Drosophila melanogaster: one gene and its partners. The protein of the gene in region 2 purifies or fractionates together with the protein of the main gene of each other region. This does not show direct contact. Each region holds a gene or a part of one and is shown on either strand. Other genes may lie near its edges. The genes, in order: kibra, Pez and Su(dx).

Region 1 (7,868 bases), on a different chromosome or scaffold from region 2:
AAATTTCTATATATTTTTTGCCTAAATTTACTATAAATCCACACGTTCCTGAGTGTCAAATAAATATTTAATAATGACGACAGAGTAAACCACAAAGCACTTACTAGTAACATTGTTTACAAATAGGTAGCGAAAGCTATTTAGCCTTTTAGTGACTATTAGATCATGAGTAAATTTTAAAAATTGATAAATGTAGCTAAGTTTTGACATCATGGATTTTTAATTAGCATTTAAGTAACTACGAAATTGTTGCTTGTACAAAAGAATTAGGATTGGGAATTCAATTGTTCCTGTATTTCGTTTTAATGAGCGGTTATATTTAATTTGTATTGAAAAATGCATATATTTTTATACTTACTGCTGCATTTATGGGCACGACGCTTACTGCACATGATTTTCCTTTAAAGCGGAATGCAAAAAAAACAATGCAAATTGTAAACAAAACGTCATCACGTTGGATAAGATACTTTTGCTTAGGCACTTGCACTTGCCCTCCCACACTTGTTGTTGTTGTTGTTGTTTGTTGTTATGCATTAGATTTAGAAGCTGTATAAACAAATTAGAGTCAAGCCCCCTTTCTCAATTTTTGCTGCAGTTTGCTGGAGGCACTAATAGTAGCGATGTTTTGATTGCATTTTTGCAATGCTGGTTAGTCGGTTGGTTGGTTGGTTGGTTGTTTACACACGAAACCGAAAACCCCCAGACGAAAACAACAACAACAACAACAACGTATAAAATAGCAGAAACCGCAGAAAAGATAATAATAAAATAAAAGCAAACAAATCAATTTTTCGACTGCAGTTGCTCTATTGGCTAAAAATATACACAAATGTGCAGAGAAACAAACCCGCCAGTTGCCAACGTCAGTTTTCTAAGGCGGAAGAATATGAGTATAGATCTTGAGCATCGTTCTTGTCCTCAATTCAAATTAAGTTTCGAATTGCCGCTAATCGATAGGGTTTCCTCCATTTTAACTAATTCCATCTTAAATCTCTTTTCGCAGCTTGATGGCCAACTGGTTGCGGATTCGGTGGACGCAGCGCATCAATTTCCGTCCAATGAGGAGCCCAATATTCTGGGGCATGGACCCAACTACGACGACAAGCTGTCCAAATTCAAATGGCTGTGCAATTTCGATGATGTGAGTTAACCCCACGCGCGAACTTTGGTAGGGTCAATTTGTCGCCAATTGTCGCGCACTGAATTCTAATTGATCGCAAATTTTGTTTGGCGAATTGAAAAAATACGTCAGAATCAGGGACAAATCGCAGAAAATATTCACTCATTGCATTTTACATGGCTTTAACACTGATTTTGGCCAATTGTTATCGTCATACGTATGTATGTATGGCCAGAAAAGCATTATTAAGCGACCGTTGTAAAATGGCCAAAACGCTTAAATATGTGAAATCCGCCATGGCGGTCGAGTTGGCAGCAATTGCCAAATAATACAATTAGACAACGAACAAACCCACCAAATGCCAACTGAATCAAGGTCGCGACTAGCAACAAATAAAAAGCTCTGTGCTTCGCGGGCATTAAATATTTAAATAGCGGTGGCAAATAAAAAGAAGCTACTGTTGTTTTCTTTGGGTGGTATGCAAGTTACATACATATATGTTTGTGAAAATCCTCAAGGTAACTCCCGAATCGAATTTCTTGGGTTTTTCGGACCATGCTTAGTTTTGACCAAGTTAAATATTCGACTTCGAACTGGGCTTAAAACGGGCTTGAAATAATTACTGTTTCCGATTGAAAGGCATTAATTAAGGTAATAATACATAAATGCAGTGCAAAACTAGCTTAGCACTTGTTTAACTAATTAAATGGATTTTTTATAATATATAAAACTTAGCTAGTTAAATTCAAAGAAAGTAAATAATATACACAGTATTTGGCATTTAATCAATTCCCATACAAGATTGCTAACAACACAAATTGGATTAATTAGTTTTATTTTCTTTCAATTGAAGCAAATGGAAAGCTTTTTGGTTTTTTTTTTTTACATTCGGCGGGGTGCCAGATCCTCGAATTATTCCGTTTGTTTCTATTTTATTTTGTCATTTTGTCTATTTGGTTTTTATTTTATTTTCAATGCTACACGCATGCGATTTGCATGTCTTATCGGCTTGGAAAATTTTGTATTTATTTGGAATGTTTATTCACTTGTGCTTTCGATACAGGCCCCCAGTCACCTGAAGTTCAACCCGTACATTCGTCGCGGATACCGCACCTTTCTACCTTCCACAAAAATGTGCCTGCAGAGCATTTTCTGGTGGACCAATGAGACGGTAAGATTGCCACACTAGAATGATACTCCATTCCAATTGGAGCTACAATAGTTTTCCTTAAACTCTATTCCCTATTATTATAACATTATTATTGCTATATTTTTCATAGATCAACATCTGGAGCCATCTGGCCGGTTGCATCCTGTTCATTGGACTGACCATCTTCGATCTGCAGTTCCTGCGCCTCCACGCCTCCCTGAGCGACCAGGTGCTGGTGGTCTGCCTGCTGGTCTGCTTCTGTCTGTGCATGCTGATGTCCGCCATATACCACATCTTCTCCTGCAAATCGGAGGAGCACTACGAGCTCTTTCTGTCCGTTGACTTCCTGGGCATTTCGCTGTCGCTGGTGGCCATCTATATCAGTGGCATGTACTATGCCTTCTGGTGCCACACCTTCCTGCGCACCCTGTACTCCACGATTGCACTGGGCATGTTCGCACTGGCCATTGCCGTGCAGATACCCCGTTTGAATGTGTCCATGAACGGCAAGGTGGCGGTGCTGCTACTCTGGTCTGCCTATGGAATCATACCTCTGGGCCACTGGGCGGTGGCCATGGGCGGTCTGGAGAACGAGCTAGTCAGGGTAGGCATCAGTTGGAAATTTATGGAATCTTGTCATTTGCTAATCCATCAATCATTACCATTTGCAGCTGATGGTGCCCCGCATCGTGCTCATGTACTTGCTCTGCCTCGTCGCCTTCGTTTTCTATGCGGCCAAGATTCCGGAGCGCTGGTTCACCGGCAAGGTGGACTTCGTTGGGCATTCGCACAACTGGTGGCACCTGATCATCGTGGCCGCCTTCTATCACTGGCACAACACCGGACTGGTCTATGCCGAGTATCGCCTGAATAACGGATGCACTGCACCAGTTCTCTCCTAGAACTTGAAGATCCGAACATCTGAGTTAAGATCCGAAGATCCGAGGAGCGGAGATGGAATCCGGGACTCTAGTAGACTAAAGCTTAGTGTAAATAGTTTATGGGGCGCTCTTTATCCGCTAATAACTAATATTTAGTTGTAGTTGTTGACCGATATGATTAATTTATGTTTAATTTACCAATTAGTTAGGGTTTCGTGTTAGACAATCCAGATCCAGATAGTTGGCATCGCATAAGCGGCAAAAAGGTTTCTCTCTTTATATCCTAATTGATTTCCTTTAATATATACAATTAAACAATGTCAATGAAATTGCATGTGTCTTGAGCTGAAGCTGTGTTAGTCTTGTTGACTCAATTTTTACAATTCATAAAATGCAAATACAATATCAAACGTACAAAGCAAGCGAAATTGTGGTTTTATTGAAGTTATGTTTCGGAAACATAATTTATTTTTCTATCTATGGTTGGGATACATATTGATTTCGAAATGCGTAACTCAGTTTACAGTCTTTTTTTTTAAATTTTTTCTTTTTCTGTTTTTAAAATGTAACGGAAATGTTAGGATTAAGATAACAGTAATTGTTAACAGAGCGAGTTAACATGATCTATCGGAACTGGCTTTGATTAACATCGCTTGAAGAACCGAACTAGTTCCTGTTACCAAGCCGATCTTTGAACGTACAACTCCTATTTTCTTCCCTCAACAATTACACCTATGCTTGGGGACTACACAAGCCAAATAACAATAAATACTTTTCGTGCATGATTGTTAAATATCGCATCTCTGCAACCGCGTCAATACAGCCTATAATATCGATATCAACCAATACATCGAATAACATCGCCGCGAGTGTATCGATATGCAATGCGATGTTTTCTGCTACACCACTAGCAGCGAATGTTACCAAAACAAATTCCGAATCCGAATCGGACGGTCATCAAGCGCGCTACTCGTGTTTTTTGCTGCTCCCCCAAGGAATTCCGGAACCGAAGAGATCGGCGACGGCGCGAACTCACTAAACTGAAGTACATATTTTTTTGTGAACACCAAGTGGATGGTTGGATTATCGTCGTTAATTAGTTTCAATTAGGCGAAAATAAGAAAATAAGTAAAGGAGTTCAAACGCTTGCAACAACAAGAAATGAAAAGAAGCAGCACCAACTGTGAGCAGTGATCGTGTGCGCTTGTGTTCGTCCCCCATATGTGTGCGTGTGTTTGAGCTGGAATGGAATGCAGTTACGAAAAAAGTAAATAAATAATTGAGAGCGCGCCCGCGCTCTCCCGCTCTCTCTCCCCTGCGCGCGTGTGTATTCGAGTTGGCTCGGTGTGTGCCTCTACGCCCGTCACCGTGTGGCCGTGTTGTGTGTGTGTGTGTGCGGGTCGGTCTCCATTATCGCCGGAGCAAAAGAAACGGAATTGAAATGTCTTTGCTAATGTAAACAGCGCAAAGAGAAACCCCCCGAAAAAAGAAGCAAACGTAGATAGCAATAGCGAAAAGAAAGAAAAGGCGCGCGTCGGGTGAAAAATCCAGCAACAACGACGTTTTCTCAGACTAACCAAAGTACACGGCGAGAAACAAAGTTAAAATGCCGAATCTGCAACAAACCGCATCGCAATCGCAGCATCATCTGCATCCCCACCACCTGCGACCCCAACAGCAGCAACAGCAACATCATCATCATCATCAACAACAGCAACAACAACAACACACGCATCATCAGCAGCAGCAACAACACCACAGCGACTTCCCACTTCCCGATGGCTGGGATATCGCCAAGGATTTCGATGGCAAGACCTATTACATAGATCATATCAACAAGAAGACCACCTGGCTGGATCCCAGAGATTGGTAAGTGTTCCGGAAAGGGTCAATTAAAGAAACGAAATTGAAACAAGGGCGATCTGAAATATAATTATAAGATATTTGCATTTGGAAAGTTAGTTTAAACTTATTAAAACTACTAGAACAATTATCAGAAATGAGGCATACATAACGAATGACCAAACCAACAGGTTGTGTTTTAAATAAGTTATAGATGCTTTAACATCGCAAACTATCAAGAGTGCTTATAAACCCCAATTGCTGCTTAATGGCTAATAAGTGAAGCAGATAACTCATTGAGAATCAAATTAAAATAGAATAAAATTCTTGGCAAGTTGTTAGTGGCTTAAGAAGGCATAAAACGCAGGTGAGAGATCAGCAGTTCACTCATTCAGGAAGCTCCGGCAAACGAGCTAAAAAAAAAACCCATATAAATTCCGATTCCGAAGCGCTCTTGAACCGGAAAGAAAAGGTGCGTGCTGCAGCTGTGTGTGTAAAGGAATGCGATCGGTGGAGGCGAAATGAAGCAAAAAAAAAAAAGAAAAATAAAAGGAAAATAAAATAAAGAGGCAGCAGCAAAATAAATTACATATTTTAAACAAGACAGCAGCGGCAGCAGGCAAAACAAAACGCAACGGAACGGGGGAAAAACTTGGAGTAAACATTCCGATGCGATGATTAAGACTCCGAATATAACTGAACTGAACAGAGAGTGGCAACAAACAAAAAATGGATTGTAAAGCCAGGGAAATACAACAACAAAAATTCGAGTGAGAGAGAGCAAAAGTTAAATAAAGCTCGGCGAATGATCTGTAAAATAAAAGGAAAACAAAACCAACAAACTCATACGTAATGAGTGCGAGAGAGCCAAAGGAGAGCGAGCGAGAGCGCTGGCGATCAGGCCATGTATCTCATAGATACATTTTAGTTTGCCGTTCGCTCACATTTTTTGTCTTCCATCTCGCTCGCGCCCCTCGCTGCCGCCCCACTCGCCATCTCTGTCTGTTGCTTTGCCCATAAACAATTGCAAAATGTACGTAGGAATTTTTGCAGTTTCGAAATAATTGATTTCTGAAATTCTTCGCCCTCTCTTTCGCTGAGTTCAATTTTTCGCTTTTCACAGATAGAGAAATGTGTAGTGTTAGATGGATTTTGTATCTTCAATTGCTCGATAGCAAATGCTTATTGCCTTTCTGCAGTTGTACAGCATTTTCATTGACATTAGACACACTCTATAATTTCAATATCACGTTGCAAATGATTTATTAAGCCATCAAAGCTTGAATATTAATTTTTTCCAGTGCATTTCTATCTGTGTACGCCTTATTGTTTCAGTTCGTTTGGTGCTGTGTGCGCTTCACGCTTTCAATTAACACAAACATTCCCTTTGTTTGTTTCAAATCGCATGGACATTGTTGAAAATGTTTCACTGAATTAAGCGTTGTGGAATTTCAGCTCTTCCGCCCGCCCGCCTTTGAAATTGAAACGAAACATCTGCGCATTTGCTAGGGTTATGCATCAAGTAGATTATAAATGCACACATGTCGTTCAAATGTCTGCCAGTGGGCACAAAAAGTCAGCGATCTATGAGCGTTACGTTCCGATTTCGGGGTTATAGAAATTTAAAGCTTAAATGACCTTAGGGGATTTACTTACTATTTGAAAAACCAATCAGATTATGAAGAGGGATACCATAGAATATAAGAAATAAAAACAAGAGTAAATGTTTTATTGGTATTTTCTGTATACATCTGCAAAGTATGTCTTCGAATTTAACTAACTATTCCATATTTTTCCAAAATAGTTTTACCATTTCTATTGACCAAACAAAACTATTTAATGCTGTATACACCCCTTATTGGTATTTTGCCCAGTCGCGCATATTTTGTATCCAAATCATATACGCTTTTTGGTCCCCTCTTCGGCTGTCTATCGATCCCCCGCATCCAACTTGCTATTGCTATTGAATTTTCAAAATTGCTGCCGGTAGCGCGCAAAAATTCCAATAAACCATAAATAAATTTCTACAATAAAGCGAAGCGAGCCAGGCCTCGGGCAACCTTTAAAGGCCTCGCCACGTTTCGAGCACAGCCAACAGAAATCACAGAAAAAATAAATATCTATTCCAATATGAGCATGCAAGGTCGAATTATCGATACCCTTGAAATATTTTACCGATAATTGCTTGGGCCGGCTTTGACGCAGGTTTTTCTAAGGTTTTCTAAAATTAAATAAACATGTTTGCAATAGTTTAACAGTAGATTCTGTTTGTAATGTCTATAATTTTCAAATTCGGCTTAAGTTTAGGCATTATCCTCATTAGATAGTAAATCGTGTAAGATTCAATCAATTAATTAGATGACTTTTGTCTGTAAACTAATAAAATGACTGATCAAAATAATGGATTTTAAAATTCGCAGCGTATTCAACTTAAGTAAATGTTCATACAGCATTTCGACGGGCGGTATTTTTTGTGATTTTCGTTGCTGTTGGCTCTCTTTTGTTTTTTGTATAAACAAAAGTTAACAACGACTTGACTTGGCCATGCGATTTGGCATTTTTTCGACGCCCGTCTTCTTCTTTCGTTGCTCATATTTTTTCGCAAGTTTTTGTGTATTATTTTTTTTACCAATTGTTTAGCCATAAACAAGGCGGCGACATAGTGGAATATTTTTCGTGTGCGTTTTTAGACAGAAAACGTGTTTGGTGACAGTATTTCGATCTATTCATAGGAGCTACAAAAAAAAGAAATAACCAAAAAAGCACGGGGAAAAAATCAAAGTATGAAATAGCAACAAAATCGTTTGGCTACCAGTTGGGATAGTGATTCGAACTCGTTTGTTTTACATAAACTCAAATCGCCGCCAAAAAGGCC
Region 2 (7,868 bases):
AAAGCGTTCGAAATGCGCTGTTCCCAAGCAAATACTCTTTGAGCGGCGCAAAATAACGAAATTTGATTTCCAATCACTCGATTAACACCTTTACCAGCCGTTGTTCCAGGAAATCGCCAATTGCACTAAGCAAAGGCTTTGGTACTTGTCAATGTGAAATCGGATTAAAATCATCCCAAACAAAATACATTCCCTTTCATTAGGATTCAGTTTATGAAGTACTTAAAGATTTTAATGTACATATACGGTTTGTATACGTTTCTTTACCCGAATTTATAAAAAAAAGCATAGGAAATGCAAATTGAGAGGGTTTACTTAAGCTAGAGTTTGGGTTTTGAAATGCACACTTGGAGTTCAATGAAATTCGCCCCGACTGCTTTGAGTTTTAACTAGTGCCGAAAGCATTTTTACTAGAACTCTCAACTTAAGCAGTTGGAAGTTTGAGCTGATCCCAGGTGTTATCTTTTGTTTTGTGGGGGCTTAAGGAGCTCTACTGAATTTTCACCTTGAATTCGGGTTTGACTTAATGCTTTAATGTTGCTAATGCGCCGCTACGTGCGTGAACTTTGTATAGAGTCGCGTAATAGTTCTTGTTGCTGTGGTCAGCAAAAGGCAGAAAATAAATATTAAACACATGCGAGGCATATGCAAATCGACGCCAGTATCGTCATTCTCGTCCGATTTCGAGGAAGGTATGTGTTCGACGCTCCCGATAACAACCAACACTGACAACAAGTGGAGGTGAACATAAAATTGGCGTCTTTTTATAGGTCACCCATGTGTGCTGTTCGATTGACGGAATGACGACAGCGCAATGATTAAATTGTGTTAGGAAGCACACATATATATCACGAAAACCAACAAATGTTCCAAAAATGTTAACATAAATTCGGTTTCTTTAGTTTTTTTTACGAAACAATAGATCCTAACTCGTTCAAATGTGTATATGTTTCCTCCAAAAACACTCTTTATTTGAGTGCTTCTTTTTCTAGTTTACGACTAAGTAGTTAATCTAAATGAATGAGATGAATGATCTTGGTTATTTCTGCTTAGCCATCTATTCAAACAAAGTTTACGATCTAGTCACAACAAACGCCCATCTAGTATCACCCTACACACTTGTAATGTGCGTGATAACGCTTAGAATCTCGCTTGGCATATGTGATTTTAAAATTCCCTAAACACGATGACACTCTCGAATTACTCGTCCGAATCGACGGAGAATTATAAAGTAAGCATGACTATGCATATTTATTTCGCGCCCAAGTGGCTTTCGTTATCATAAACCTAGTTTGGCTGTCTGGAAAGGATGAAATGTAACTCCGCGCTCACTTTAACCGAAGTCCATTAAATGTAATCCCATTACGGAACCTGCCCTTTTAATGGTTCTTTAATTGGAAGAACTAATAGTCTAGCTTTAATAGGTAGGTAACCCTATAATGGGGTGTCATAACATATAATATAATATATTTATTTAGTTTGTCTTTGAACTTGAATTTCAGAGAACTAATTTTTATCCATAAAAGTTCTTAGGAAGTGTACAACAATGTACAATTTTTATATTTTAACTGATTTATATATATGTAAATATGTATGTACGTACATACCTAGACTTGCAGTATCTCCTACTAAGTTCTTAGTTCTTTCAAAATGGAACGATTTTACAGAGTTCAGTTATACAAGGCAGCAAGAGTATACACACTTCGGCTTTTCGAACTAAGCCACTTTCAATTTCGTTGTAGTAAATTTTGATACTAGGATTTTGTTTACATCGTCATTAATGTGTGTGTGTTTAATTAGCATAAAACAATATATCGGTTGGCTTTTTTCACAAATTGTTTTTAATAAATTGGAAACTAAATGCAACGCCAACTCCAATTGGAAAATGTGTAAAGTTGGTGTACTTAGGATTTTCAAATGTTGATTTTTTGAATAAGGAAAGGCAGGTTAACGGAAATTAAGAACATAGCTTCGTCGCTCATATCGAGTGCTTACTGTACGGGAAGCAGACAGTCGACAGCTGTTCTCAGCGGAGAGCCACGAGCAGAAAAGTAACTTGATGGCCGATTGGCGACCCGAGTCGCGTTTTTGGTTATGCAATTCGGCCTACGACTCGGTTTGAGACGTGAAAGGCGGCGATACAGCGTGCAAATAGCGCAAATTAATAACAGAAGTGAATTAAATTAAATTACACGCAGCGCGGACGGAGTGAGCGAGAGCGCACTATCGCACGGGCGGCGGCGAGGCTGTGCGAGAGCGAGAGGGAGAGGGAGACTGGGCGAGCGCAGCAACAGGTACTGAACTTTAAACTCGCTCGCAGGGCTCTTCTGTGTGTGTGTGTGTGTGTGAGCGAGCGAGTGAGCGATACGGTTGCTCCATCATCTGTCCTCGTCGCTGCAACCTTGACCGCCAATGCAGCGCTCGAAATATCTAAGCAGCAAATTAATTATGGACTGGATTTCGATTTTGGTAATCGGGTTTTGCTTTTTGGATTTCGACAGTGCGTGGCCTTGTGATTCGGCTCCTCGAAACTCACCGATCGCGATCTCCGACTGCGCTGCTCCTAATCCTCTGTAGATAGACGACGATCGGTGGATGTGGATGTGGATTTGTGCCCCGTCTCTGGTGCTCTTCCTGTTGCAGCCCCTCTCAGCAGCTTGGCAGACGTCAAAGCCCTTGATTTAAATTCGCTTTATTCAGTTACGCAGCGGGGCGAAGCCACGATCTTAATTTTAATTCGCTTTATTCGATAAAACGTTGACGGAGGGCGGCAAGTGCAAAGGGGAAGTGACGACTACCACGGCAGCAGCAGTACTAAATTACTGAATTCCAGAGGGACCGTCGTCGAATCGCGGTGTGGATTTCTCAGTTGCGCGCACTTTCCAGCACTGGAGTTGGAACGGATAACAGAGCTATGCCAGCACGCCACCTATGTGTCCAGTAGCTCTGTTAAGTTTGATATTTTACTGTTCGCTAGAAACCGTTATTCTCTTGCTGTGTACAACGAAGTATTCGTGTGTATCAGTGGTTTTAATATCTTTAGGAATTTTATTTAATCACTGCTGACTGCATTGTTATATATTTTAAAATATAAACTGTTTTGTTTCAGTTACATATTTCTTGGTTGCACTTGTTTTCTTTAACAGAACTAAACCTATTTTCTTGCAGCCCACTGCGCAAAGACATACCGATAGTCAATGCCGCCTATCGATCCATTCGATGCCAGCCACCGAGATACTCAGTCAGCACCTGCGTATCGATATCAGCACTTCGGTCTCTTCGTTTTATTTCTCGTGAATTCCTTTATTTATTGTCGTTAACTGCCCAATTACTATCTTTAACTTTACTTAACCAATACGCGCAGTGCTCTGGTTTGCGTGTCTAATCAGCTGATTCAAATCGGCTAATTCCAATTGAGCAATTTACTCCCCCAAAAAAAACCTGTGGTGTCGATGGTGCTGCCGTTTTAGCCACTTTTGTGAGCCCAGCGGAGCCCCGGTGGAGCAAAATAGTCGAAAAATGCCATTGAAATTCTTGAAAAAGTGTCGCCAGTACAATGTTACGTCCAAGAGTTTGTTTGTTATATCAGTGCATCACCTGCTGGGTGAGTAAGCCCCACATTCCTAGAGGCGCTACGCCCCCCACAACAACAACAGCGACAGCAACGACAACAACAACAACAGCAATAGCAACAGTGGAGACGAGACAATAGAAACAACAAGAAATCGGTGACAAAGCCACAACTTAACAGCTGCCGTCTGCCATTGCAATTGGGATTATTTAATTGGGAATGTGCACAACGATTGTCATGCGGCGCCCACTTCCAGTTTAGCTGGAATTCGCCTTCCAAGGCACAGACCACAAAAATGCCTTCACTTGTTGCATTCTAGTTAACAGTCGCTGAGTTAACAGAGGCGCACAGGACACATAACAGCGACCGTTAATTCTAAAACTAACAGACTGCCTATGAGAACTTCCTAACTTTGCGTACTTCACATTTTGTATATTATTTACTCTCGATTTTGGGCTAAACAAAAGCATGTTTTGTAGTTCTTATACACTTAACCGAATGTACTTATTTGGCAAGCGAACTGAAGACCTTGACTCAATTAAAACCACCCAAATTTCTCCAACCATCAGAAAGGTTTTAGACATTAGGCCTACGTTTCGTTAGTTAGGAAATACGACAGATGAGAGAAGCCAATTGAGCGGCGCCGCCACAATTTCCGTCCATAAAACGTATAAGGTCTCGAAAGAGATTATAAACTTTATTTGCATATTTGCGCGTGCGACGGGCAGGGCCAAATTGTTGTTGTGCGGCGAATTTAGAGTGCTTGGAGCGACTTAGGCCGATGTTTGAAGCACGTTTTCACTCTTACCTACATTGCAGACACATCCAGCACAGTGGACTGCACGATCAGCTCGGAGAGCAAGGGACAGGAGTGCCTGGACAACGTTTGCCAACGTTTGCTAATCCAGCAGCCGGAGTTCTTTGGACTGCGCTACCTGGTCAAGGGCAAGGACAAGGAGGACGAGTTCAAATGGATCGACCTGGAGCGCTCGCTCAGTCGGCAGCTGGAGAAGTATGCGGCGGGCCCCAAGATCTACTTGCGCGTTCGCCACTACGTGACCACTGGCGTGCGCCACTTGAGCGACGAAGCCACGCGCTTTTACTACTTTCTGCAGCTGAAGAGCGACATCTACGAGGGCCGCATCGCCTGTGACATCCGCACGGCCATACTGCTGGCGCTCTACTGCCGCCAGGCGGAGTACGATAGCTACCAGGGCGACAAACAGAGCAAGGACTATCTGAAGAAGTCGCTGGTCCTGCCGCGCAACATGCAAGGCCTGGCCAACGATGACAGCATGCTGGAGGGACTGATCGTGGAGGTCCTGCAGCAGCAGGCGGGCATTGCACATCTGAGTCAGAGCCAGGCGGAGGAGATGTACATACAGTGCTGCCAGCAGCTGGAGGGGTATGGGGAGGAACGTTTCGCCGCCAAGGACACGCTCGGCAATGATTTGTTGCTGGGCCTGGCCATCAACGGGATGGTGGTGAACGCGGACAACGGTCGGCAGTATTTTCCATGGAAGGAGTTCCACACGGTGACCATCGACAAGCGAACGATTAAGATCGAGCAGAACAAGCTGGATGGTGGCGGCAGCATCGTGGGAAGCTTTATATTCAGCGAGGCGGACACGGCACGTTACTTCTGGAAGCTCACCATTAGCCAGCATAAGTTTTTCAAGCGCTATATTGACACGGCCACGCCCTCGAGCCTGGGAAGTGGTGCGGATGCGGAGAGTGGTCCGTTGGGCGTTGACAGCGTTGGTTATGTCGACTACGATTACAATGAAGCGGCGGCCGCCGAGCAACTGCAACAGCATCATCAGCAGCAGCAACATATGCAGCAGCAGCAACAGATTCAGCAGCAGCAGATGATTTCCTCCAACATTTCGCTGGCTACCAGCGCTAACCAGATGTTGGGACAAAGCAGCTCCTGCCTGGATTTGAGCAACAACAACCTGCACAGCAGCAGTGGCATGTTGCACCACGGAGGCAGCAACAACAACAATAACAACGATGAGCGGGAGCGCCTCAAAGCCATGCTGCCCACATACCGCCCGGCACCAGACTATGAGACGGCGGTCCAACTAAAGTACCGCACACCATCGGCGGAATTCCACAATGTGGCACTGGCAATGGCCGCGCCCGGAAATGCCTACTATGCGGGCTCCCAGCCTGATGTACACAATCCAGGCATGCACAACGAGAACTTACTGTATGGTCATATGACTGCGCATCGTTATCCGGACGTGGCCCAGCCGGCGGCTGCCCTACACCACCACATCAACCTGTACCAGGCACAGCATCAACCGCAGTCACATCCACAGCCCATGAGCCCCGCCCAGGCATACCTAGAGCTCTCGCAGCGCATGCATATGATGCGTCACAAGGCCCCACCGCCGTATGTCAATCGGCTGAGTTCCTCCTCCACGCCCGATCTGGCCGTGGCCACTCCCCGTCCCCTTCAGGGTTTCCGCAACTACGTAAGCGGCTCCTCGCCGGATCTAGTCTCTAACCGCACGCTCTTCAATGGCGGTCAGTACGTTGCTCTGCCCGCAGGCGGACATGCCGGAAATATTCCAACATCTTCCGGAGCCACCATGTTGCACCAGTACCAGTACGTGAGCCACATGGGGCACTCGCAGCCCTATCTGCCCCCGCACGGCACCTTCGAGAACCTCAACATGATCGAGGAGCAGCCGTCTATAATGTCCCAGCTGCGACAGTCAGCGATGAGTCAGGCAGCAGCTGCAGCTGCCGGATCTGTGGTAACGCAGAGGTAAGTGTAATGAAGTCGTAAAATAAACAATATAACAATACTTTTCGCTACGATCTTGCAGTTCACCTACCCTGCCGCCGAGTGGATATCGTAGTTCTGTGCCCCCGCCAGCGAGCAGCCCGCTTCCACCGCCGGTGGTTGCTTCGTCCCATAAATCGGCGACACCGGCGCCACTACAGAGGAGCTTGGTGAACGGTTCCATCGAGCCCATCTACGAGAATGTACCCCTGCCACAGAGAGCCTCTGGTGGCAGCAGTGGTGCCGCAAATACTGAGGCTATGCGTCAAAGAGCTTCCTCCATACAGTCCGCCCCAGGCGTTGTCCCTGTTCCAGCTGCTCGAAACGCCAGCTCCAACAACGTAGTTACTGTAACTGTCAATTCTCCACCCGACGATGGAAACATAAAGAAGTACGGCGCAGACCGAGCAGCAAGCACGGAGCTGCTGTTCCTGGAACCGCAGGCTCCTAAGCGGACCAATCGAGCCGCCAGTGCAGCGCCAGATATGGGAGCCACACCTCCGCCACGACAACATCGCTCAACAGCAAGCCTAAACAAGTCGTCGACGGTCGACATGATCACGCCGGCCGGAGACACGCTGCAACAGCAGTTCAGTGCCATGAATCTTTCTGCCAACACATCAGCTTCCACATCCTCCATGTTCAACTCAACGCTGGACACCACGTCCTCATCGGCGGCCAGCAAAGACTTAAAACGCAAGAAGCGATGGAACTTTTTGTCACGCAGCAAAACACCCGACAAACAGAAATCCGCCACACTGGGCAGGGAAAAGGCCACAACGGCAGGTCAGCACTCCAAGCTGGCGGCAAAGCTAAAGCTAGCCCAAGACGATCTCAACCTGCCAAATCGTTGGTCCACAGGCGTCAACAAGCCGCAGCCCATTTCTGGACGATATTCCAAGGACAAACTGGTAGGTTAAAAGTTATTACGATTTGGAATCCATTTCGATTAAAGCGCTTGTCAACTTCCAGTGCCAAATCCTAGACCAAAAGCTAAGTGACTCGCAGCTATTCATGGAGTTCGAACGCATACCGAAACGACGGGAGCATGCCCTATACGAATGCGCCCTGCTGGAGGAGAACGAGCCAAAGAACCACGACCCCAACTTTTTACCCTATGACGACAACAGAGTGCGACTGACTCCATGCCGAGACAATCGGCATGGTTACGTTAATGCTTCCTCCATATCTGTACGTTCAGTTGACACTCAAGATGAAAAGCAAATTGTGTATTTCATTGTTGGAACATCTTTTTCAGGCCACTGTGGGCACAAAGCAGCGGTTCTATATTGTGGCCCAGTCGCCACAAGAACCGCTTACCATGCGCATCTTCTGGCAGTGTGTATGGGAGGCGGATGTGTATTTGGTGGTCCAGCTAACCGAGGATATGAGCTATATTCCTCGTAACAGTCATCAGCGTCTCGAGTTTGGACAGGTAAGTGAACCGCATAAGCTTTTAGTTCTGTTCCTCAAAGGTTCTACTTTCTAGTTCCAAGTGTATCA
Region 3 (7,868 bases), 4.3 Mb from region 2:
GCCACTGTGGCGGCTGAAGGTTGCTGCTCAAAGGGTCGCGGAGTGGTCAGGGTGTAGTCACTGGCGAACGGGGACTGGGATCCGTACTGTGCGGAGTAGGTGCTGGCAGTAGTTGCGATCGTAACGGGCCGAGCTGTGGTCATGTACTCCATGCCACTGGCCTGGCTGGCGGTCACATGTTTATCCATGCTGGGATATACCCCCAAACTATTGCCATAGGTGTCCAGCACCTCTTTTTCCCCCGAACTCGTGCTGGATAGGTGAACAGGTATCACATTGTTGTGAATAATGGTGGTGCTGGGCTTGTTATAGCCATTGCTAGAGGAACCGCCTCCAGCGGAGTGCTTCTTGTGCTGCATGTAGTGTGGATTTAAGGGAGGCGGCATGCCGTAGTACTGCTGGAAGGGATTGCCCTGGGGCGACATGAAAACAGGCTGCAGAATGGGTTGGTAATAGGCACCATTGAAGCCCGGATTGGGCAGCACTTTGGGCAGGTTTTGTGCGGCGATCATTTGCTTGGACAGCTCCAGAACCGTCTTCAAGGTGTCCTCCGATATCTTGGGCTCATGATCGCTGTACTCGTGACTCTGGTGGCTTACATACGAACCCTGTTCCTGGCTCATTCCGTAATTGGGCGGCAGGGCAAACATCACAGAGCCTTCGGGGCGATTCACCACTATCTGAGAGTTGGCATATCCCTGCCCGGTGGTTCCATGCGAGGAGTAGGGCACGGCATTGCTGAGCATTAGTTTCGTCTCCGGTTCCAGGCGATGGTGGCTCAGGTGCTCCTGCAGGCGGGTCTTATTCGAGGTGGGTTCCGGTAGCCTTGGCTTTATTTTGGGTGCTTCTGTGGTACTGGTGGTGGTGGTGATTGTGGAAGAGGTCTGCTCCATGGGGTTCATCATCTCATACCGGTTCTTGATGTCAAAGTGCGCCAGAAAAGCATTCAACTGGTCTGGTCGCATTTCCGTCTGAGGTTTATCTGTCTTCTGGTAGGTCTGCTGCAGTCCATCAATCAGTTGGGACAATCTCTGCAGGTGAGCAGTCAGGCTGGGATCGATGGGCGATCCCGGCTTGGCTATTTCGCTGATACCAGCCACCTGTTTAAGTTCCGTTCTTAGCTTTTCCACCTCTGTTCTGTGCTCCATGCTGCTGGAAGTCACCTCCTCGCGGTTCTCGGGCTTCAGACCAGCGGGGGAATCCAGTTCCACCAGCTCCCCATCGCCGCTCGAGTCGAAGTTGTGATTGGAAGAGAAGTCCTCCTCCGGCTGCGGCTTGCTCTTGGCCGCCTCCTCATTAACCTCATTCTCCTCACTGCTCAGTGTGGAGTCTAGAATTATTTCCACGGTGCCATCGTCCTTGTGACTGGAGTCGCTCAAAAGCAGACCCGCCTCGTCCATGTCGTTGACTATCAGTATGTCCGCGTCCGGCCTCCCAGGTGGCGACTGCGTGGAGCTCATCTCACTCGGGGTGATGCACTCCCAATCCTCGCCAGGCAGAACGCAGCTGCCCAAACTGGACTCGAACACCAATCCCTCGTTGCACTTCACCGGAATCCAAACGTGCGAGTTGGAGGGCAGTTCCCGGCACTTGTAGAAGGCGTCGCAGCGGGTTTTGTGGGGGCGTGTCTTTTCGGGGCACGGCTTGCCTGCGTTAAGCCAGTGCGGAAATGGGAAAAGGAGTAATGTTCACATTAACATGGGAAAAGCACTTCGACTTTAGCGGAGATTTCCGAATAATAAGTTTTGGTTTTCCTACATGGTTTCATTTTGTACATATTTTTAAAGCAATGGAAGGTGCTATTCACTTTCTTGTAATAATTGTAACTATTCATTTCAAGGCATTTTTTATTTTTTAGGATACTTCAGTGAATTACGTTTATGAATTCATGAACACTTTCCTTTGAAAGTAGGAAAACCAAAACTGATTTAAATCTGGCACAATACACTTGCTGGTGGAGTTTACCTTCGGAAAAGTAAAACAAGCCCGCGACCAACGCGTAAACCAGCAGCTGCCTCATCGCGTATCCTTTTCGCGTATCCTCTTCGCGTAATCCTTCCCGACCGTAGTGCGAAGTCCGTAGCCGTAAGTTCCGATCTGCTCCGTTCGAAGCCCGCGATACGAATGACTGCGGATGCGGAGCGGTCGGCACATTAAATTTTGATAATTTTCACTTTGAGCCGCGTTCTCTGAAACTCTTGACAATGTGTGAAAAAGTCCGAAAGCGAACAAACAACATGGTATACGACGAATTTTCTTGGACTCTCCGCTCTCAGTGCTCGTATTTAAAACGAGTGCTAATAATTGTTTAAACAAATAGTTTTTGTGCTACTGGAAAGATCGGAGAATCAAGGAAATTTCACTTTTTGTGCGCAGTTTGTTTGTCTAAAAGTGCAATATAACGTGAAACTGGTAAATTTAGTAACCATAAAGTGAGTAATAGAGATAAGCTAATGAAGGCTTGAGGGATTGAATAAAAAATCACAGGTGTTACGGCATCAGCAAAGGTTTTATTATTCTCATGTGGTTTCTATTTAAATCATACATTTAAATCTTCCTCCTCGGTCTGGCAAATGAACCGGAAAGTATAGTGGCATGGGTAATCGTACATTTCCCCGTTGTATAGGAACACGCAGTTGAGGGTGTCCAACTGAGAGGGTCTCCCCGAGGCCCATTTCAAAAAGGTAGTCTGCTTGCCCGTGGGCATGGACAAGAATTTTCCCTCGTGGTCCAAGTCATTGATTCCCAGCCAGTAATGCGTGTCCTCCTTGAGATTCGCCTTGATGGCGGCTAGATCTGCCTCGTCCTTAATGTCGGCCAGGTGCCCTCCCATATTGCGACAAGTTTTTGAAGCAGTGGACCAGTTCTTCTCGGATACTTTCTCTATGTAATAGTACTTTGAGCCGATTTGCTCGAATCCGAGGTATTTTATTTTGGTTTTTACTTCAAGGACTGTTTTCTCCAGGGCCGACAGTATGCCTTCCATGCAATTCAGTCGTTCAGTAAAGTTCTGTTCGTTAACATTCAGTTTTCTGCCTTGGGCATCCAGTGCGACTTCAATGCTTAGTTGCTTATTCTGCAGAGCAGTCAGTTGGCCTTCCATCGTGTACTGTCTCACCAGGACCTCGTTAGCCTTGCTTGAATTATTGGAATTCGCCAGATTTTGGGAAATGGTCAGGTGATTTAACACGGGCGTAAGTACACCCAGACAGAATCCTCCACATTGACTAGGAGGGTCCTTTAAAGGACAAATCACATCGGATTCTGCCCAAGCTCCATACAAATTTAAAGCAAGAAGACCACATAGCAAAGCACTTGCGGATTTTAGCATTGTAAGCACTTTTTACTGCCAAACACTATGTTATTCGATGAACTGAATCCGCGCTTTTATATTTATTCAATAGCACCACAAAATTAAATAACATTTAAAGAAATTCAATGAGCAACGCAACTGAGTAATGAATATTCAGGGGGCTTCTAATTTATATGGAGTAATAAGCTTAGATTCCAATAAAATCAGAGGGGCCAGAAGTACTAGCTGGTGCATAACTTTTTGGCTAATTATTTACCTTTGTTTTGTTGTGACTACGGGCAATACGTTCTTATTTTTATTCCTAATTCCTATTCGCGGTCATTTTCAAATCTGGTTGGCTACTCCATTTTGAGCTTGTACGGCAACTCTGGTTGAACATGTAAGTTGGCAATATAGCGAGTACGCCAACCCAGTCTAGCGTGCATAACAAGCCTCGCCAATTGAATTCAACCTATCGATTCGCGCACTGAGTGGCCACATCAGTTGTATCGAAAAACATCGTCCAAAGTTGCAGCTCTAGAAATTGCTGCTTGCAAGCGAAGCAAAATAACAAATAAACAATTAGTGCAGCGATATCAACTGCTCGCGATTACGTGGACCAAAGCGAGGGCGGCAGCGCCAACTAGTGCAATAATCCAGCCATCAATTTTGGGGCCCGGGAAACCCAGTTAAGAATCCCGCACACACACTCGCACATGCAGCCGCACACAGGAGACAACAACCACACACACAGGCGCAAGTTGTAGGAGCACCAGAGGCAGAAGAAGAAGCAGCAGAAGGTAAGACACAGGTAGAAAGGAAAGGAAAACGGAGGAGGAGAAACCCCCAGAAATTGCTAAAAACAAAAAGGAACGCCTCTTGCATTGGAATTCGCCAGCGGTAGAGCGGCGGCAGCGAGTGCGAGCGGGACGGAAGTCGCGACCTTTGCCTCAATTACAAGCGCACACACACAAACACACACACGCCCACCCACAGAAGGAGTGGGAGTGGGAGAGGTAGTTACCTTCTTTCTGGCGTGCGTTACATGACCACGAATAAATATATATCTACACATATATATGTGTGTACTGTAGCATAGTGGCGCTGTGTGGGTGACTAAGCCCTGCGGTCGATAATTCAAGGAAGTTCAAGTTCCCCTCCCTCCACCACCCCTCCCCATCCATCGAGCGAGAAGTGCATTCTAGGCTTATTGACAGCTGTTGCTGATTACTTCGCTTGGCTCGCGCTCCGGCTGCCCCACCAGATAGCTTCCCTTTGTTCATCGGCCCACTGATAAGCGCTCGAATGATAGGCGAAATGAGCCGGAAAGTGCGTGCTAATTGATCGGAGAACTGTGTCCCATTCAGATCCATGCAAAGCCCTTCCAAATCGATTTCAATCCGGTCACAGAATCTGATGAGTAGACACTAATGGTAAACAACAAGCTGCACTTGCTCACGTGTTCTCGGTTAATTAATGTAGTGAAAACGCTAGCAAAAGAGAAATCGCGAACGGTACACAGCGAGAAAATCATGGTAGTTATCAGCATGCCGATAAGCAAAGCGAAGAAGTCATTAAAGCATTGAGATTTCAGTTCTGACGATATATAACAAAATAACTTATTTGTGGGCTTGTGTATCGCCATATCGGCCATGTTGCTTCCTGCACACAATCAATATGCAATAGCCATTCAACAATTGAAACCGAATTCACTTGCCGTTTTCTTTTTCGCGTTGAGCCGATGACTCACATGGCAACATTATTATACAATCTATTGTGTAGCGGGGTGTTTGCTATCAAAGTTATGGATGACCAGCAATCGGTGCTGAGTGTGTACGAAAAAGTACAGGGAAACACACACGCACACAGCCGTGGCAGTCGCAAATTATGGAGAAAATTAATAGGCGATAATACGGTGCTTCCCAGTAGTTTAAAGTCCACGAAATCAAGTGCACTTATCAGTGCATTTATATATTTATTTGGGGGAATTTCTATAGTAATACAAGTTTCTTTCAATAATTTAGAACTCTAGCCTCACTTAGTCAAAGAATATATTTTGGGATCAGAAACATTACTCAGTTTTTTAATAAACTGTTTACCCAGTTTGGTCATGATTAATTTCGCTTGAAATAGCATAATTTTTATCTTTCATATATGACCGAGTTGCACTGTACATACATTAGCGCCGATTTTACAGCTCACAATTTGTTCGAGCAGTTTATTTCACCAAAAAAGTGAAGGCCTATTCGCAAACAGTTTTGTTGCCATACTGTCGTTTACACACTATATAATACACAAAGCTATACAGGCCATATCTTATCTGCGGATAGTCGCTTTCATAATGATATAGAGCTGGCATTATCTGCCTTCTAAGATCAGGTGTATAAGTAGTCGAGAGCTTAAAGCGACTAAGGAAAACTGCATAACACCTAAAAAGTGCTTAGTAAATCACTCAGGGTTCCCATAAAGGCCTGTTGGTAATCTGTAAACCTAGCAAAAGTGTGTACAACACTTTTATTCGGATAGTTATTTCCACTCTATAAAAGCTTCCTGTTCAACAGCATTGTACATTTTTGGGTATTGATAAACCATTTACGTATGTAGACCGTGTTCCGGACTTATCTTATCAGTCCAGAACACGCAATTTCCCCCCATTCGATACTTTCCACCACCAATATTCAATAGCAGCGTGCTCAATACTGGCTTTCTCTTCACTCAAAGGGAGGAATATAAGGCGGAGGAGGAGGCGGAGCACCAGGAGCACTCACACACTCAGCCACTAAATGGCCGATGGAAATGGGCTGCCAGCGGGTGCAGCTTCCGGCGGCATGGAAGCCGGGCAGACAGTGAATGGAGCGGGATCCGCCAGCCCCACGCCCACCTCCAGCTCGGGGGCGGGGGCCAGTGGGAGTGCCAATCAAGGATATCATCAATTAAGCGTGACAAGTGAGCAAACAAAAGAAAGTGAAACATTCTGTTCAATCAATAATGGCCCCAAATCCTTTCAGTCGAGGAGGCTTCGCTGCGCAACAATGGCTTCCTCAAGCCAAATCCCTACGTGGAGCTCTTGATTGACAGCAAAAGCAAGCGGAAAACGGACCTGGTGAAGAACAGCTATTTGCCCAAGTGGAACGAGGAGTTCACAGTGCTGGTGAGTAGAAACAGTAATAAAAGTCAATTATTTGTAATATCCACGGGATCTATCGTCTCTAGATTACACCCAATTCAACGCTGCACTTCAAAGTGCTGGATCACTCCAGTTTCCGTAAAGATGCCATGCTTGGAGAGCGGATCATCAACCTGGCGCACATTCTGCAGCACTACAATGGGCGGTGCGAGTTCCTTGAGCTGACCATCGACCTGTTCGTCACCAGCAAGTCGGACAATCGCCAGACGAAGAGCGGCGAACTAGTGGCCATCCTCAATGGCCTCAAACTCGATATGAGCAAGCTGCAGATTCAGCCAGTGGCTGGCCAACAGAATGGCAATCCACCCGTCCAGGCGGTCAATCCGTCGGTGGTCAGTGATGCGGCCGCCGGACGAAGTTGCATGATTTACGGTGGAGTACGGGCACGGATGCGACTACGCTCGAGCAGTGGAAATAGCAACGGCGGAGAGACCCGCTCTCCTCTGCCGAATGGAGGTGGAGATCACAGGAGATCTACGCAGGCGCCCCCGGTGTGGGAACAGCAACAGCAGCAATCCCAGAATCAACAGCAGCCCCTGAGAATGGTCAATGGCAGTGGGGCGGCCGTGCCGCAGACAGCTCCGTATCCTCAGCAGCCACCAGCTCCCGCACTAGCTCGTCCTCTAACCCAAGTGTACGGAGCGCTGCCAGAGAATACACAACCAGCTGCTGTTTATTTGCCAGCTGGAGGAGGAGCAGCAGTAGGACCACCTGGAGTAGCAGGCCCACCAATTGAACAGCCAGGAGTTGGACTGCCCGTGAGCCAAAGCACAGATCCGCAACTGCAGACACAACCAGCGGATGATGAGCCGCTGCCTGCAGGGTGGGAAATCCGTCTGGACCAGTACGGTCGCAGATACTACGTAGATCACAATACACGATCCACATACTGGGAGAAACCGACACCGCTGCCCCCGGGCTGGGAGATCAGGAAGGATGGGCGCGGTCGAGTTTACTACGTAGACCACAACACAAGAAAAACTACCTGGCAGCGGCCGAACAGTGAGCGTCTGATGCACTTCCAGCACTGGCAGGGTCAGCGGGCCCACGTCGTGTCTCAAGGCAACCAGCGATACCTGTACTCCCAGCAGCAGCAGCAACCAACGGCGGTGACAGCCCAGGTGACGCAGGACGACGAGGATGCACTGGGTCCACTACCAGATGGCTGGGAGAAGAAGGTAAAGCCGTTTGTCTAGATTAGAAAAAGTATTTATTTTAACTCGTTCCTTTATTTACTTAATCCTTACGCAGATCCAATCGGACAACAGAGTGTACTTTGTTAACCACAAGAACCGAACCACCCAGTGGGAGGATCCACGCACGCAGGGCCAGGAGGTGAGCTTGATCAACGAGGGCCCGCTTCCACCCGGCTGGGAAATCCGCTATACA

The links.
Region 1: the proteins of Pez (region 2) and kibra purify together in Drosophila melanogaster (affinity purification with western blotting; 2 studies listed by BioGRID). This does not show direct contact.
Region 3: the proteins of Pez (region 2) and Su(dx) purify together in Drosophila melanogaster (affinity purification with western blotting; one study listed by BioGRID). This does not show direct contact.

What each region holds. Positions count from the first base shown.
Region 1 is NT_033777.3:14,720,463-14,728,330, reverse strand, and holds the start of kibra (kibra), read left to right. Parts: upstream 1-4,069; 5' UTR 4,070-4,757; coding exon 4,758-5,020; intron 5,021-7,868. Other genes in the region: CG7530 (uncharacterized protein), read left to right, coding at 1,004-1,141, 2,184-2,291, 2,401-2,874, 2,942-3,172. UniProt on the Drosophila melanogaster protein: Regulator of the Hippo/SWH (Sav/Wts/Hpo) signaling pathway, a signaling pathway that plays a pivotal role in organ size control and tumor suppression by restricting proliferation and promoting apoptosis.
Region 2 is NT_033779.5:6,333,794-6,341,661, reverse strand, and holds the start of Pez (Pez), read left to right. Parts: upstream 1-2,990; 5' UTR 2,991-3,014; intron 3,015-3,168; 5' UTR 3,169-3,519; coding exon 3,520-3,604; intron 3,605-4,390; coding exon 4,391-6,347; intron 6,348-6,408; coding exon 6,409-7,276; intron 7,277-7,337; coding exon 7,338-7,556; intron 7,557-7,623; coding exon 7,624-7,800; intron 7,801-7,854; coding exon 7,855-7,868.
Region 3 is NT_033779.5:2,033,917-2,041,784, forward strand, and holds the start of Su(dx) (suppressor of deltex), read left to right. Parts: upstream 1-3,797; 5' UTR 3,798-4,308; intron 4,309-4,611; exon of another isoform or gene 4,612-4,725; intron 4,726-5,816; exon of another isoform or gene 5,817-5,888; intron 5,889-6,013; 5' UTR 6,014-6,075; coding exon 6,076-6,238; intron 6,239-6,300; coding exon 6,301-6,443; intron 6,444-6,505; coding exon 6,506-7,657; intron 7,658-7,730; coding exon 7,731-7,868. Other genes in the region: CG42296 (uncharacterized protein), read right to left, coding at 1-1,648, 1,966-2,020; lectin-22C, read right to left, coding at 2,540-3,331.